Saccharomyces cerevisiae S288C: one gene and its partners. The gene in region 3 interacts genetically with the main gene of each other region. Each region holds a gene or a part of one and is shown on either strand. Other genes may lie near its edges.

Evidence for each region. A genetic interaction does not mean that the proteins touch.
Region 1: mutations in HFD1 (region 3) and PEP7 together harm fitness less than expected from each alone (positive genetic interaction), as found in Saccharomyces cerevisiae (one large-scale study listed by BioGRID).
Region 2: mutations in HFD1 (region 3) and JEN1 together harm fitness more than expected from each alone (negative genetic interaction), as found in Saccharomyces cerevisiae (one large-scale study listed by BioGRID).

What each region holds. Positions count from the first base shown.
Region 1 is NC_001136.10:1,111,980-1,118,250, forward strand, and holds PEP7 (phosphatidylinositol-3-phosphate binding protein), read right to left. Parts: upstream 2,049-6,271; coding exon 501-2,048; downstream 1-500. Other genes in the region: TIM11 (F1F0 ATP synthase subunit e), read right to left, coding at 24-314; small subunit rRNA maturation protein UTP4, read right to left, coding at 2,454-4,784; condensin subunit YCG1, read left to right, coding at 5,147-6,271. UniProt on the Saccharomyces cerevisiae protein: Required for vacuole segregation and vacuole protein sorting. Possibly part of a complex which tethers the vacuole membrane to microtubules, either directly or via kinesin or dynein-like motor proteins.
Region 2 is NC_001143.9:18,036-24,584, reverse strand, and holds JEN1 (monocarboxylate/H+ symporter), read right to left. Parts: upstream 2,352-6,549; coding exon 501-2,351; downstream 1-500. Other genes in the region: threo-3-hydroxy-L-aspartate ammonia-lyase SRY1, read left to right, coding at 6,246-6,549. UniProt on the Saccharomyces cerevisiae protein: Essential to lactate transport.
Region 3 is NC_001145.3:489,894-494,026, forward strand, and holds HFD1 (hexadecenal dehydrogenase), read right to left. Parts: upstream 2,100-4,133; coding exon 501-2,099; downstream 1-500. Other genes in the region: MYO5 (myosin 5), read left to right, coding at 1-353; EUC1 (Euc1p), read right to left, coding at 2,511-3,899. UniProt on the Saccharomyces cerevisiae protein: Catalyzes the oxidation of long-chain aliphatic aldehydes to fatty acids. Responsible for conversion of the sphingosine 1-phosphate (S1P) degradation product hexadecenal to hexadecenoic acid.

The DNA of each region.
Region 1 (6,271 bases), on a different chromosome or scaffold from region 3:
CCTATTTATGTTGAAGCTTCTATTTATGTTGAAGCTTCCTTCAGGGATTCAACGGCGTTAAGAATAACTCTTTCAAAATCTATATTAGGATCTTCCAAATTAAATGAGGCGTTCGCAGGCACATCTTTAGGAGTTACTACAGGGTGTAGCTTGGCGTATTCCTTCTTTGCCTCCTCTACCAGCTTCAATTTCTCCTCGTACTGTGCCTGCTCCTCTTTCTTCTTAGCATTACACTTCAAAATCATATCATTTCTAAAACCAAAAAATAGCCCCAAACCCAACGCAGAGTATCTCAAAACATTAACTGTCGACATCCTTTAACTCACTCAGCTAGTTCCTATATACGTTATGTTCCGATATAATACTTCCTTTTATCTAAAATTTCTGTGTGAAAAGTCAAAAAAACTAAAGAAAAATTTATACCCTTAAATAGATCTGATTGGCTCCGCGGACCAATTAGCGTGGAGATTCCGCGAATGATCGAATAATAAAGATATGTCTTAATTAAACCCATGGTCACCCAGCTTCGATTGAACGGTATGTATTCTTGAGTGCAATTCTTCTAAGTTCTTATTAAGTGTGACGATCTCCTCCAATCTACGCTGCTTCTTATAGTCCTGAATTGTGGACTCAATAAGGTAGCTTTGTTCCTTTAGGACCATCAATTCTTCTCTCAGCTCTTTCACTTCTTTTATGGTCAAGTTTTCGATCATTAGTTGCGATAATTTCTTTACCTCTGGTTCAGCTTTTTGCCCATCTTCATTCGTTTTATGGCCCTCTGGGTTCAAAATTGCCGGAAGCGACTTCAACGGTAGGATTTTTTCGTTTATGTATGCAGCGGAAGCTATCTTGATCGAATTTTGAAGTTGTCTCTCTAGATGACTTTGAGGTTCTACACTTAAGAGCTGTCTTGTTAGTGTATTATACAAGTTAAAAGAATTGAGTAATTTATGTCTTAATCGAGCGAGATCATTCAGATTCTTTGGATCAAGTGTATTTTCAGAATCCTTGGCAGTCTCCACCTTCAGGCTATTCAATGAGTCTTCAAAAATGGGCAGGAGACTATCAATTACTTTGGATATATTTTGCATGCTATCATATTTAGCAAATATTCCACTTAGCGGCATTCTAACGTCCTTGTTAAATTTCCTGCCAATAAATAGCATATCGATACAGTGCGAGCACAATCTTATGGATATAGGAATATGAAGTAAATCATCCTTCTGTATATTGTATTCGAATGGCAGATCTGACGCTGCAGACATTAAATAACCTATGCTTATTTCGTTTGAGCAGTTCCTGTTTGCATCATCACAAACAACCATACCACATAATCTGCAGTGATGCTTCCTTAGTAATAGCCCAAATGGTTCGGAACATATGTTACAAAAGAGTACACTTCTATCATCTCTCCATGGAGTAACTGTACGTTCTAACTTGGACATTTCACTATTCATCTTCAAATTATGAATAATGGATCTAGAATATGTGTTATAGAGTGTAATCAGACCATCAACTAGACGGACAAACCGATTTTCTAATTGTAATAGCCTTAAGTTTTTGTCCTCTCTTTTTATATTTCGTACCTTAAAGAATTCTGGTGTTAAATCTATTACTTCGCCATAATCGTTATAGCCAGGTTTTGTGACGAAACAATCATGGCAGCAATTGTACCATTTCCCGTTTCTGGGGTCATACTGTGCGGAAAGATTAAGTTTAATCATATTAGGAAGATGCCTTCTGCAATACAGTTTACCACATTTCCTACAATTAATGGCGCCAATATTGTTATTCAAAGTCCTTCCACATGTGTGACAGCAGCTCTTCCCTTTTTTGAATTTTTCCCAATGGCTTCTTTTCAACTTTTGCGCACTGCTATCAACAGATCTGGCCTTTTTTTGTTTACCATTGACTAAACGACTGTCATTGGAACCGAGTGAATCTTCATTATCGTTAAACCCATGCTCAACATCTAAATGTGCATTTAGTGCTTGTAAGTTATCAAACTTCCTTAGACAAATGGGACATGAAACATTTTCAAGATCCATAATAGATAAGTCGCCAGGAAATTCGGTGATATCCCTTTAAAAACCATGAGATCCGGCTTTGCTCTTTAGGTCGGTCAATTTAGCTACTGATCATATGTTTTCATTATTCTATTGTTTTCCCAAAGTATTACCCTGCCTGGAAATAACAGTGATAGCCAGAGTGATTCCATCGCCAGTACTTTTGTAATTCAGGAATACATTTATACCAATAAATGGCTCACATTTAATGTCTGCATACGTGATTACTACATATATATGTCTGCGTATGTGCTTGGCTATTTTACATTAGCGAGTTTCTATAAAGTACTAACGCCATTAGAGTTTTTTGTAACTGAAAAATGCCCTTAGAGTATGATAGCCTTTTAATAGCATCTCTCTATTCTTCGGTATGTTGACTTAAATTAATCAAAACACTAACTTTGGTTGAATAAACGCCTTTTGTTTGGAGTGAAAAGTTAATGGATTTCTTTCAATTATTGCCAATTCATTACTAGAAATTAAGTCAACAAACAGTAAAGGTTTATATTTATCAGTAAAGAAGAAGTGACCGGAGCTTTCTTCGTTTCTTTGTACATCTGTGGACTTTATTTTGTTTCCTTGGTTTAATAATACATTCAAGTTTTCGCTGATTTCCATATCAATATCGTCATCTTCGTCATCTTCCTCGTCGTTCATGAAATTACTTTCATCTGTGATAGTTAGCCCTTCGTGTGTACGTTTTTTCTGTTTTCTTCTCTTATTTATAGGGAAGTCAACATCAAAGTCTATTCTTGATATCCAAGTAGCCCCCCAAAACCATAATCTGCTACTATTTTCTATGTCTGAAAATATCCCTACACAGTTCTCTTTTAATGTCTTCCATTCTTTTGGTAAGTTATCCGTATTGTTTTTTGACCATTGAGTTAATACGCTTTCGCTATCTTCATTCTCGGCTTCCGAATTCAAATTCATATTGAATTCATAAATCTTATTGTCTGCAGTAATTACTACTACAGATTTTCTAGAAGTATTGATATGAACAGCGGTGATGAAATTATTCAAACGAGCAAGTGGTTTAGAAATCCTTGCTTTTAAGTCTAATATGTCTACGACTCCACAGCCACGAGAAATTACTGCAATGTTCTGGTCTACTTCCAAATGGTTGATCCTGTTAATATAGGGAACTTTGATACTGCTCTTAGTTGAAGTAACCTCCAAAAGTTCAACTTCTTGCGGTTTTTCATCTTCTTCAGATTCTAGATCCACAATAAATACATCATCTTCGCAAGAGCATATGACAATTTTGGAATTATCGATGAACTTGACTAATTTTGTGGAAGTTCTCAATAATAGGTCATTATCTAGTTTAGTCACTTTCAATTTATTACCTACGGGCTGTAAATGAAAAACTTTAGTGGTAGAGGGCCTCCCTACGACTAAAACTTGTCCATCAGGTGATAAAGAACAAGTTGAGATATTCTGGTCATCTTTTAAAGTTAACTTGCAAACTAGCTTATAATTCTGTTCTGTACTAGAATCGGTTCCCATTGTCCATATCTTAACAGTAGATTCGCTCCATGAAACAACAAGGCGTTGCTCTTTGTTAACTAAAACATTCTTTGAATAAGGTTCGACAGTTGGCATCTTCCTGTAGTTTCCATTAGAAAAAGAAGTAAGTGAGTTGATGACTAGTGTTTTTTCAACACCTCCTGAAACTAGAAAATCTGCACCTTTAGATTGGTATGCACATATTGCTCTAATGTCGTTTCCATGAAGCAACCTATTAGAAGAATTTACCCATCTGTTGTTCTTTTGAGATTTGTTAGTGTTTTGAGAAAATTGAAAGATTTTTCTGTCCACACCAGCACTAAAAACATAATTATTATCAGTATCGGTAGTTAGACACAGTACGTCTGCATCGTGCGCCTTAAATGACTGGTTTAGCGTGGCAAACTGGAAATCCCAGAATTTAATGGAGCCTGTAGAATCACCAGAGGCAATCTGATCAGTTCTTGGTAAATATATAACTGACCAAACTAGAGTTGATTCTTTTTTGGCCTTGTCGACCTTCATAGTGTGTAATAGACGACCCATGTTTTCGTCATTTTTTTGTGCAGACCAAATCCTTATTCTACCATCAGAACAACCACCAATCACGAAGTCATCCTTTTTCCAAGCCAAAGTCAATACTCTGGCTTCTTGTCTCATCAAAATAGTATCGTGTTCCAAGACACCAGGCCCGCCAGAGATATCTATGAGGACCACCGTCCCATTATCGCAACCCACAGACAGCTTGTCTTGTGAATCGTTGATGGAAATAGACCATATCACACCTGAATTGCAATCATAGTTTCTTAATGGTAAACCTGTTGCTAAATCCCATTCTGTTACCACAGTCGAGCCGCCAATAGAAAATAGCCTTAGAGACTCGCCGTTAACGTTGCTCCAGCAAAGGCCTTCAATTGATCTGTCTTTGCCACCTTCGATAACCATTTCCTGAAACCAATTGTTTCTAGGATTCCAGATTTCTATGTTACCATTAGATCTACCAATAGCTAATCTCAAATCGGACGGAGTTAACTTATTTATATTTGATTTATGTGAAAATGCTAGAGATGTGATTGTGGCAGGAGTGAAATCCACAAATCTGCATCTATGCACTATCATCCTTTCCTGACTGGTCATCTTCACCGGTTTGTTTCGTATTTTCAGGCTTCTTGACTTTTCTTTTAAAACTGAAAGTAGCGATGAGCTCATTCGTAGCTTTTTTCTTGTCAGTCTGAAAATTTTTCATTTGGTTTTTTGAAAAAAATCCTGCCTAATATGGTATCAAGAGGAATAACAAGAAAAAAAAATCATGGGGGATACAAAGGAAAACAAGGAGATAATGCAGGTTATACTGAATTGCTCATAGTATTAGCCTAAAGCACTTTACCTCTGATTTATTGCATCTATCGTATTCTTGAGTTATTGCGACTTTTAAAATCCGTGCACCGCATATGAAAGGGTAGAGCCTTCGTGTTTGTTTACCTTTTTAGCTCTTTGAAGATCAAACAAAAACACTTCAGTAATGCCTACAGCCTTGGATAAGACAAAGAAGTTAACAGGCCGCGCCCATCATGCAAGATCCTGATGGTATTGACATTAATACGAAAATCTTTAACTCAGTTGCTGAAGTATTTCAAAAGGCACAGGGTTCTTATGCAGGACACAGGAAGCATATAGCAGTTTTGAAGAAAATTCAGTCAAAGGCTGTTGAGCAAGGCTATGAAGATGCTTTTAACTTTTGGTTCGATAAATTAGTTACTAAGATCCTTCCTCTGAAAAAGAATGAGATTATCGGAGACAGGATAGTAAAGTTAGTAGCTGCATTTATAGCTTCTTTAGAAAGGGAGTTGATATTGGCCAAAAAACAAAACTATAAGCTCACGAATGATGAAGAAGGGATATTCTCAAGGTTCGTCGATCAGTTCATAAGACATGTTTTGCGTGGTGTGGAAAGCCCTGACAAGAACGTCAGATTTAGAGTTTTACAGTTATTAGCCGTTATAATGGATAATATAGGGGAAATCGATGAATCACTTTTCAATTTATTAATATTGTCTTTAAATAAGAGGATTTATGATAGAGAACCAACGGTTAGGATACAGGCTGTGTTTTGTTTAACTAAATTTCAGGATGAAGAGCAAACTGAACATTTAACTGAGCTTTCTGATAATGAAGAAAATTTTGAAGCTACGAGAACTCTAGTTGCTTCTATCCAGAACGATCCGTCAGCTGAAGTACGGAGGGCTGCAATGCTGAATTTGATCAATGATAATAATACTAGACCGTATATCTTGGAGAGGGCTAGAGATGTAAACATCGTTAATAGAAGGCTCGTGTATTCGAGAATTTTGAAATCAATGGGAAGAAAGTGTTTCGATGATATTGAGCCGCATATTTTTGATCAATTGATTGAGTGGGGTTTAGAAGATAGGGAATTATCAGTGAGAAATGCGTGTAAGAGACTCATTGCTCATGATTGGTTAAATGCTCTGGATGGCGATTTGATAGAATTACTAGAAAAATTGGATGTCTCAAGATCCTCAGTGTGTGTTAAGGCTATAGAAGCACTTTTTCAATCAAGGCCAGATATATTATCTAAAATCAAATTTCCTGAAAGTATTTGGAAAGACTTTACCGTAGAAATTGCCTTCCTCTTTCGGGCTATTTATTTGTACTGTTTGGATAATAATATAACA
Region 2 (6,549 bases), on a different chromosome or scaffold from region 3:
TGCACAGGCCGAGCTTTGATTGTGTATAAGCATACATCCCCCTTCAAAGGTGAAAAGTAATGTCGAAGTATATGGCTATCCAGCCGCACACTGTCCTCAGGGCCCATTCAGTGCAAGAACCAAAATGCTATATTTCTGAACGGCCTAAAATGAATAACGAAATAATTTTTTCCACTTTTACCAATTTGCTGTTCGACTAACATTTCTTTTCTATTACTATTATTGTCTTATAGTGGCAAAAGCAAGCAAAACAATTTAAATTCTTAGACACAGTAATCTACCATCTTGCTAGTGTTAACGGCTGTTATGTTTCTTGCGGCGCTATTTAAATGTACTTACATTCTAATCCCTTCGAGAAAATTAATACAACAAAAATTCTAACTTTAAAGTATGTCGTATATCATGTCTTTTATGTAATGTTATAAAGGCTATAATATGAATATATGTGAAATGCAGTTACATAGAGAAGCGAACACGCCCTAGAGAGCAATGAAAAGTGATTAAACGGTCTCAATATGCTCCTCATATGTCTTTGAGACGTTCGAATCAATCATCTTCACTGAAGCACATTCCGTCTTTTGTTCAACAATGTCACTAATCGAAAGACCATCGGCTTCGTATTCTTCCACTTGGTTTATATATTTCTTCATAACAGGAGAGGACAAATCACGATGGAATTTCTCATGGCCAACAAAAACACAAGCAAATGTGAAGATGAAAACAGAACCAGTCAAGATAGCCATAACTTTGGCATAATCTTCTTTAATCACAGCACCAGAGGCATCTCTTTCTAATGGGTATCTATCAGCTAACTGTGTCTCAATCGTGGAAGCCGCTGCAGAAGCTAGATTACCTAGCTGGTAAGATAAACCGGCAACCAAAGCCCTTGCATCAGCAGGGGCCAACTCTGCAAGGTGAATGGGCAGGATACCCCAGACACCAAAGACACAAAAATATAACATGAAACCGGCACCTAATATAGCCTTTTCGCTTCTCAACATAAATGCAGGGTAGGTGAAGCAACCACCCATTGTGCATGCAATCAATAGGCCTAATCTTCTTCCAGTAACTTCCATGAACTGTCCAAATATCATACCCCCACAAATAGCACCGATGTTGGTAACCACTACAATGACAGTGACAGCATCCTTGGATAGGCCTAATTGGGCACGCAGCATGGTTGGCAACAAGTCTTGAGAAGCATGAGTCAAGTAATTTGGACCCACCAATAAAACAACCAAATATGCGAACAACAACCAGTACTTTTGAACTGTTCTCTTCATGGATACCATCTTTTGTTTAAAGTTGGCTTTTGGTAGAGGCTCGCCACCATTAGCTTTCACTGCGTCACTCAATATTAATTTACGGGCTTTCAAAACCTTGGTGAAGTATTTCGTTTCAGGCCATAACAATCTCCAGAAAATTAGTAGAATTGGTAGAAAAATACTAAACCAAAACAATATTTTCCAGCCATCATCCCTAAAGTAGCCAAAGGCTCTGTAAAAAATGATAGCAAATATGAACCCCATAGCGTAAGCAGAAAAAAATAGACCTGATAGGAACGAACGTGCTTTCACAGGTGCATCTTCAATCGCTGTTGCAGAAGCACATCCGTAAATTCCTCCCATAGCAATACCGGTTATCCACCTTACGCCCAGAAATTTCTCGTATGTGTCACACCATGGAGTACAGAGTTGTGCAATGACAAATAAGAACAAACATGTAATGTACGGCCACTTTCTGGAAGACTTATCTGTCCATAAACCAAATATGACAGCACCTGCTGAACGAACAAATAACACCAATCCCAACCCCCAGGTGATGTCCTTGGTTGGTCTGTCATATAGTTCAGCCAATGGAGCGACTGATACTGAAACGCAAAAGAAGGCCCAAGCCGCAGACAACCACGCAAAATAACCCATAAAAAAATAGTTCCAATTCTGCCATGTCATTTTGCGCAGTTCGGGTATGGGATTGACATTCTCCCAAGAAAACTCGTGGATGTGCAGTAAGGACGTAAATCTCGTTAAAGCATAACTTTTAATGGACGCAGCGCTTAGGTTTGGCTTATCCTCTTCATCTTCCTCATACTCTACACCTTGATCCTGGCTATAAACTCTTTCCAGCAATTCATCATCTCTTGTATCCTGAATTGATTGTGCAGGCAGTGATGGGTTATGGTATAGCTTTTCGTGATCCGGGTTGTAAACTTCCGGCTCATAATTTATAGGGTTACCTTCTCCGTCCACTAGAGGAGGCTCTGCAAATGTACTTGTGTTATAGTATAGTTTTCTGCCAGCAGGTTGTTGCTGTTCACCAGATATTTTCTCATCTGTAATTGACGACGACATATTTTCAGTAGCAGTATTTAATCTCTTTGAGGAAAAACTTTTGAAACTGTTACTCTTCTTCCTTTTAGATCTAAGGGAGAAGGACTAGACAACTTCCAAAACTATTTCTCAACAATGATGTGCAATGTATTTATACATCAAGAGGGTACTTCACTTTGCTGATTTTTTTTTTTTTTTTTTTTTTTTTTTTTTTGGTAAAGGATAGTACCATAGGAGATAGTAAGTGTTACTTAGATCTCCATCCAAATGACCAGGTAACGTTCTAATGCATTATAGTAGAAGGGGGGGCAAAAGACCGTTAAGTGAAGAATTATGGACGTCCGGATGGTGTGCAGAAGCTTACAAACTAACTTCCTGGTGGAGAATAATGGTAGGCTTGGCGGCTCTGAGATGGAGAAATAGTTTCAAGCCGCGCGCTCAATAACTTCCTCGATCACTGACTTTCGCACCCATCTGGGAACGGTACGGCGAATAGTCTTCATTTAATTGGAGCTGATCGAAAATGCTTGCTGCCGCTTCAGCGTGAATGACGCAGGTGCTGCGTTTGTCCTGTGCCTCCTTTTTTTTTTGGAGTCCGTTTGTCGGCTATTAGCTCTTGGGCTCTAACCCCAGGAAAAGGAAAAAGAGAAACACGCCGGTCTAGTGGAGTAAATTGCGGGGTCAGGATCCCGCGCGGATATCGGCCGTTCAAAGGGTGAAAAGAAGAAATCATTGGAGTCGTTGCGAGTCATTCTTTACGAATCTAATTTCTCCAAATTTTTACAGGTATTCTTAGCCGCCCAAGGTAGCATACAATGACCTTCTATTGCAAAAATGTACAGTGGAATGTAAAAACAGTGGGGACAAACCTGTGGAACACTAAGCGTGGGGGTCCATCCACTTAAACTAAATCGTATTGTTTAAAAGTGTGCAAGCATTGCGATAACGTTCGATTAGACTCTGAATGGAAGACAATGAGTTGATTTTGCTACCAGCAAAAAAAATAATTTATAAACACATTATTCTTGCAATATTTTTCATACTGTGCGTTTATACCTTTTGAAAATTATAGATCCATTTATATATTAATTAACATCCGAAACAAAAGGAAAGTGCGAGGACCGGCCCACCCGATGACTAACGGGAAAGTGGACATGATTTGCCATTTGTACGGGTAATATTTACATATTATTTGATGTGCTTCTTTGGATTGTGTGCAATCACTTACTTCACAGTGTCTATGTAAGAGATGTGAGAGTGTAGCTCGGAAGGTGGAGACATCTCCTAGATCTTGTCTGGCTTCGTTGGGGTAGCCATGAGAAGTTTTCCATTCCCCCGGGTCATGCATGCTGCCCGAGTCAAATAGCGTTTAACTTTGACTCGTACGCCATAATAGGTTATGTTTTATCTTTGGTCAGGGACCCCAGTATTGAGAAAGTAACCTAGGGATGCTACGCCCCAGCTTTACTACGTGGATGATACAGTAAGCACATACATATTGACGGCATCTAATCGTTCTAAACGGAAAAATAGGCGCTGATTTGATCCACTTCGGTTAGGTAACCGCTGATGCCAACGATCTAGGGCCCTTCCATTTTAGGAAAAAGGGTATATACTCTGATGCCCTGTCTGGCCGAACATTCGTATATGTGGATGTATCGTGATCCGTTCGTATTCAATAAAAGTGTAACGATCTCATCTCAAGTCAAAAGTGAGAAGGGAATAACTAAAAAAGAAAAACTGATATTTTGACGTGACGTGGTTTATTAGCAAGTATGTTTCAACCATTCTCAGCGTAAACCCTATCACAATAACGTCTCTATGAAAAGTTTAACATTTTGTCTATCTCGGTTCAATCAGTTGAATAGCGAACCTTATAGCAAATAGCATTTTCAATAAAAATGTGACATACAGACTTCCACTTTTCTTGCTTTTCTCATGCTCTGTGTGATGCTACTGTTACCGCGGCACCACATTTTGGCATACGTCGGGACATTGGCGGCTGAATAGATTATACCCGTCGCCCTTTTTTCATCTCTCCTTTTCTTTTTGTCGTAAGCAAATTACAGAATTGAATATTTGAATAACCCTAAAAAAAATGCCACTCCCCTAAAAACAAACCAGATTAAGTTGCAAGAAATAGACTGATTGGAACATACGGGTCCTATTCAGTGCTCAATAAAAATTAAAATAATGTGATCAAACAACCCGAGACTATTCTTGAATTAGCATTAGCCACTATAAATTTTAACATTTTTCAGAGTCTTTCGTGCGGAGACCGTAAATATTAGCATTGACCTTGTCAATGAAGTAATTGTCTTTGATTTTAACCGTGTTAAAGATTTCGCAAAAGAGAAAGCTTGCTGGCTTGGAGCAGTAACTTTTTTTGATTTTTTTTTACAAGCACACATGCTTTTGCCTTTAGAATATTACGGCTCCTCATGTGGATAGTAAAAACTTGACCGTTGCATCTGTTCTCCTTCGAACAAAGAATAAATCGTCTGAAAAATCACATAGAAAAATAATAGAAAAATAAAAAACATAGTAACATATTTTAAAAGAGACCTTTTATTGAAGAAAATTTGGCGATAAAAATGATTATAACATTGAAATGACGAAGAAAAGGACAGTGCCCGAATTCTCGATTCCAATAAAAGGCGAAAAATTACAATCGCCAGCATGTTTGGTACGGGGCGACTCGTGGCATTTTAAAGTACGCTGGCATGTTTAAAGGTATTAGTGTTCTTGGCGTGGAAAGTGCAGGTGTCTCACTTTTTAGAACGAACAAATTCAAACAATATACAACAATCCGCCGAAAACATTCCAGAAATTAAGATTGTTAAGCACTTTTGCTAAGAAAAAAAAAGGGCTCTCCCCTGTGAATTAACTCAAAGGTAGCGTGTTCTGCCTATGCAAGGTGACCGTTTTTGCAGATATTGTAGTGAGATGCTCTACAAAAGGGGTTTCCTAATCTAATCTTTTACCATATCAAAAATGCCCTAATATTATTATTAAAGAGCTATCAAAGCCTGATTCCTTAGGTATATGACTAGTTCCCGAATTAATGGCATTGATTCATTACTTATTTTATTAGGGGGATGATAAAAATAATGATATCTTTTTCTGCAGCGTCATTTAAGTACTGATTGAGACTGACAGTTGTGATAGAGATATTAAGTAGTAGAAACGGTCCATGAATTGTTCTTTGTTAATATTCTTGCTGAGGGAGGCTTTTCTTTTGGGCTGCTATGCTTTCATTCTACTTAAGCAACGAGATAGGAAGCTTCAAAAGGTGAATGGTGAAATGCTGAAGAAGATTTCGTCATTCCAATCCTCGAGAGTGCGACGTAAGTAGTGACTCTAATGAATTTTCTATGCCTCATAAAGCTTGAGGTATATTTATCCATACGCAAATAATACACGATCTAGGATTATTGTAGTATGTTATTGTTTGACAATATCCTTGGACAAGTTCTAATCACTTATATTTCCCAAACATGATTCGTGTATTTTGGCGTTAGAAAACGACGGCAAGTAAGCTCCCAACATTTACTTGACGAGTTTTTTGTCACTATCATCACGCCCTAGAGCCAAGTTATATTTTTATCGTAAATTCTGTAAATTAACAGTCATTCTAAGCAGGTTGTTTTAATATTTACAGGTAACTTGGCTGACTTCTTTTAAATGTGGCTTCTATGACAAAAAAACTGAAAAAAATGACTAATTAGTAAATTCAGCCTCTTATCATAAAATCAGGGTCTATAGGACGGTACGTGAGAAAAAGATAAGCTTTGGAATATAAAGAGTTACATTTTCATTCTGCAAAAATTCAAATAAAGGAGTATTGAAAAAAAACTTAAAAAGTACAAATAATTAATATAGTTCGAGATATTTAGTTTTCATTGAGTTGGAAAAATGATTGTTCCCACTTATGGAGACGTTTTGGATGCCAGCAACAGAATTAAAGAATATGTAAATAAAACACCGGTTCTCACTTCACGAATGCTTAATGATCGACTTGGAGCACAAATATACTTTAAAGGTGAGAATTTCCAACGAGTGGGAGCGTTCAAGTTTCGTGGAGCAATGAATGCTGTTTCAAAATTAAGTGATGAAAAAAGAAGTAAGGGAGTAATTGCCTTCTCATCAGGAAACCATGCACAGGCTATTGCTCTTAGTGCAAAACTATTAAATGTACCTGCAACAATTGTTATGCCCG
Region 3 (4,133 bases):
CTGAGTTACCTTTAAAGAAAGGAGACGTAATTTACATTACAAGAGAAGAACCAAGCGGTTGGTCTCTCGGGAAACTTCTGGATGGCTCTAAGGAAGGTTGGGTGCCAACAGCTTACATGAAACCACATTCCGGAAATAATAATATCCCTACTCCTCCTCAAAACAGGGATGTTCCTAAACCCGTTCTGAATTCTGTACAACATGATAACACCTCTGCAAACGTTATTCCAGCTGCAGCCCAAGCAAGTTTGGGTGATGGTTTGGCGAATGCGCTTGCTGCTAGGGCCAATAAAATGAGATTAGAGAGTGATGACGAGGAGGCTAACGAAGATGAAGAGGAAGATGATTGGTAATCAAAATGTATTTAGCGAGTATATACTCTATACGAGCAAATAGAGTAAATTGTAATTAATAAATATTGATATATTATCGCCCATATGAAATTTTTAAACGAAAGGTTACTTATACATCAAATAATTAATTAACCTTAAACATTACGTTCAGGAAGAACAATGAGCGTAAATGGTACTAATTAAAATAACGGCGGCAGATAATGAAAAATATTGGCGTAACCCCCACTTGTTATTGCCATTTCTGTCAAACCAAGGTTTTCTTTCCATCGCAAAACGGACGAGCTTTTCCTTTTGTGCGCTATTTGGAGGGTATCTCATAAAAAGGGTAAAATCATTCCAATATGGTTGTTTAAAAATTGTTCTTTCATGACTAAAGGTATTGAATCCATAATATCCACCATAGTTACCATAACCTGAAGTACCGATCCCTCCAAATGGAGCGTCGGTAATTCCTACATGAATCACTGTATCACCGACAACACAGTCACCAGATCTTAAGCGCGTCAAGATACGATTTATTTCAGTTTGGCTATCAGAGAATATGTATTGCACCAATGGAGTGTCATGTTCTTCTATTATCTTGTTAATGGTCTCATCAAGATCCTCGTACTCAATGATGGGCAATACAGGAGCAAAGTTTTCCTGTTTCATCAAAGGATCATCCCAACCAATGTTATAAACTATGGTTGGTGGTACAAGGCATAGATCCTCAGTATCTGAATTGATAGAAATTTTTGAAGGCACAATCTTGGAGCCGTTAGTTGAGTTTATACTTGCAACGGCCTTTTTGTAAGCAGGCTCATGAATCATACGAGTGAAATCTGTTTGTTCATCAAAGCTTGGATAAAATTCATTTAGTACTGATTCACACTCTTTAATGACTTTTGGATAGATAGATTTATGTACTAACAAATAATCTGGTGAAACACAAATCTGGCCAGAATTTCCGAAAGCACCAAAAAAAATCCTTTTCAAAGCAATTTTTATGTTACTTGCTTTGAAATTTTCTGTAATAAAGGTAGGTGATTTACCACCAAGTTCAAGTACACAAGGTGTTAGACTTTTTGCTGCTTTCTCAGCAACTATTGATCCGACACGGGGAGAACCTGTGTAGAATATTAGGTCAAATTTTCCACAATCTAGTAGTCTTGTAGTTTCATCTATAGCTCCCTGAACTACTTGAATCAATCCATCAGGGAAACCAGCTGTGGTTAACAAATTTTCCATAACTACAGCAGTGTGTGGTGTTAGTTCACTTGGCTTCAGAACAATGGTGTTACCTGCAGCAAGAGCTGCTGCCAATGGGGCAAATGCTAAAAGTAGGGGAAAATTGAAAGGAGCAATAATCAAGACACTGCCCCTTGATATTTTCTCCACGATTGTTTTACCAAACATAAATGGAGGAGAAGAATCAGATACTCTCCGAGGTTTGATCAATTTTGGTAAAATCTCAATTAGGTGAAGTATATCGTTCATAAGTTTGGTCGTTTCATTCAGAACCGATTCAATTTTGTTCCGATGAAAGTCCTTGTACATAGCATCGATCAGTTCTTCCTCATGATCTTTGACGGCATAATAGAGTTTTTTCAACTGCAACTGCCTGAATTCTAGATCTTTTTTCCTTGGGTTATTTTCGTGGGACAATTTCAATTGTTTCTCAAAGAAGAAATTTCTTGAGATTTCAACTATTTCATCTATTTTAGACACTGGGGTATAATTCAATATTTTTGAGCCGTCGTTTGACATGTTGGTGATAAATTACTATGGCTATGGTTTTAGAATATTCCTTTTAGATAATCAATATGCCTGAAGTTTTGTTTTTTATATATGGAGTATCCGTTTATCCCTAAAATCCGAAGAATCTCCTCCTAAAACGACAAAAAAAAGGGTAAGCAATCCACCATCTAATTAAATCACTAATATTAGATTGAATTTTCGAACCTATCTAAAAGTGGGATCTTGATGTAAAATTGACTGATAGATAAAAGGCTTGGAGTCGATAGTTGATATATCAGTACACCGGTAATTGTCTATTATATACCCTGTTGGCATGAAATCCATATAGGACGGTATATATTTATATATAAAATGCATGTAAAAATCTTTCATCATGAACTACTCGGAATTTTTGGCTGGAAATTCGTTGTTCCATTTCCTCTAAGTGTCTTGATCATGTTCTGGTGTGCCTGTACTGGAATTTGGTATACTATGTGGCTGCTGTAATGATAATCTAGCTTCTCTCTCTTCTAACAAGAAAATTCTTCTTGGCTTCCCTCTTCTCTTTAGAGTAAGTGAATAGTCTTCGAGTTTGTCCATTTTTTTGGAGAAGTATTCGTATAACTGGGACATTGATAATCGGCAATGATGTCCTTTGAAGGTATTGTTTCCCAATCTTATATTTTCGACAACCTTGATGGCTTGGTTTCTACTTATTTTATTCTCAGGTAGCGACAAACCATATTTGCTTGGATCATCTTTTATATCTATTATTCTTTTTATGATGGTCATTCTTTTAGTGAACAAAGTCCTTTCTTTGGCAGATCGCCTCCAAGTGGACCCATATCTCCTCTCAAGGGAAAGAACTGACGGTTGGCCCGGTAAGCCTTCAAAGTATTCACGGGCCGCATCTGTAACGTTCTGGATTGCACGATTTAGTTTATATGACGTTCCAACGCACCCTCTTCTGTTTCTGATATCATTCTCGTTTCCTGTTCCATCGAGTTGGTTATTACTGTCATCAGCATTGCTAACAGAATCGGGGTTATTTAAAGGTAGGTTCCTGGTGGTAGCGTTCTCATCACTTTCATTACCATCGTATTCCCCATTTTCAAAGTCTGACAGCCCTGGCTCAGGCTTGATACGAGGATCGCCGGCTAATATGCTTGCGTGCATACTATATTCTTGCCAGTTTGTTGATCTTGACTGACTTTGATGAGCTTGCGTACTTGTTGATGGATTTCCAACACGAGCAGCTTCCTGAGGAGTAACATTTTCCCCAGTATGGTCTATAAATCTTATTCTCTCCCCAGTCATAATACCAACTACCTCTTTGAAGACTTCTTTCATTGCGGAAACATCTTCAACATACTTATTGATGTCTTTAAATCCTTTCTCCAACTTCTTTTGATTCTCTAGAAAGAAGAGTTCTTGTTCCTTTTTCATTAGGCTGATTTCTTCCTTCAGATTGGCATTTTGCTCCTCCATTCTGGTTAGTTGTGCTATAAGAAATGCATTGAAATTTGTTTCAGGGGTTTCTTTTATCCTTCCAGGGCCTATTCTGTTGGTCGGTTCTGTTGCCGATGCTGATGTGGATGTAGACACTATGGGAGGTTGAGCAGCGTCTGTCGGTCTGAAAAGAGGATTGATACGGCCTGGGATCATGTACCTATTTAATGCAGCATGTCTTGATACTCCTGTTGGACTTGTGGTTATAGTTCGCTGCCCTAGATCGTGATTCCTGCGTTCAGAATCTCTATCTGAATCATCATCGTCCAACGAGCCGTACCCACCAAAACCTTCTACATAGTTATATTCTCGAGCGGGCATGTTTAATTAATGTGTTGACTCCTGGACTAACTTCTCGATGGCACAAAATGTAGTCTTCTGGCAAAAGACGAAGTTGATTGTTAAATATTTTAAGCTAGCAATGCCCTTTGTACTCTCGTTTGTGTTTGAGTTTCAAGTACGCTTCCTTTTTTTAATTTTTTTACTAATACTAAACTCGTTCTCTTTAGACAATACTGGTTGAAGTAAAGTAAATGCTATATCATCATATGGAAT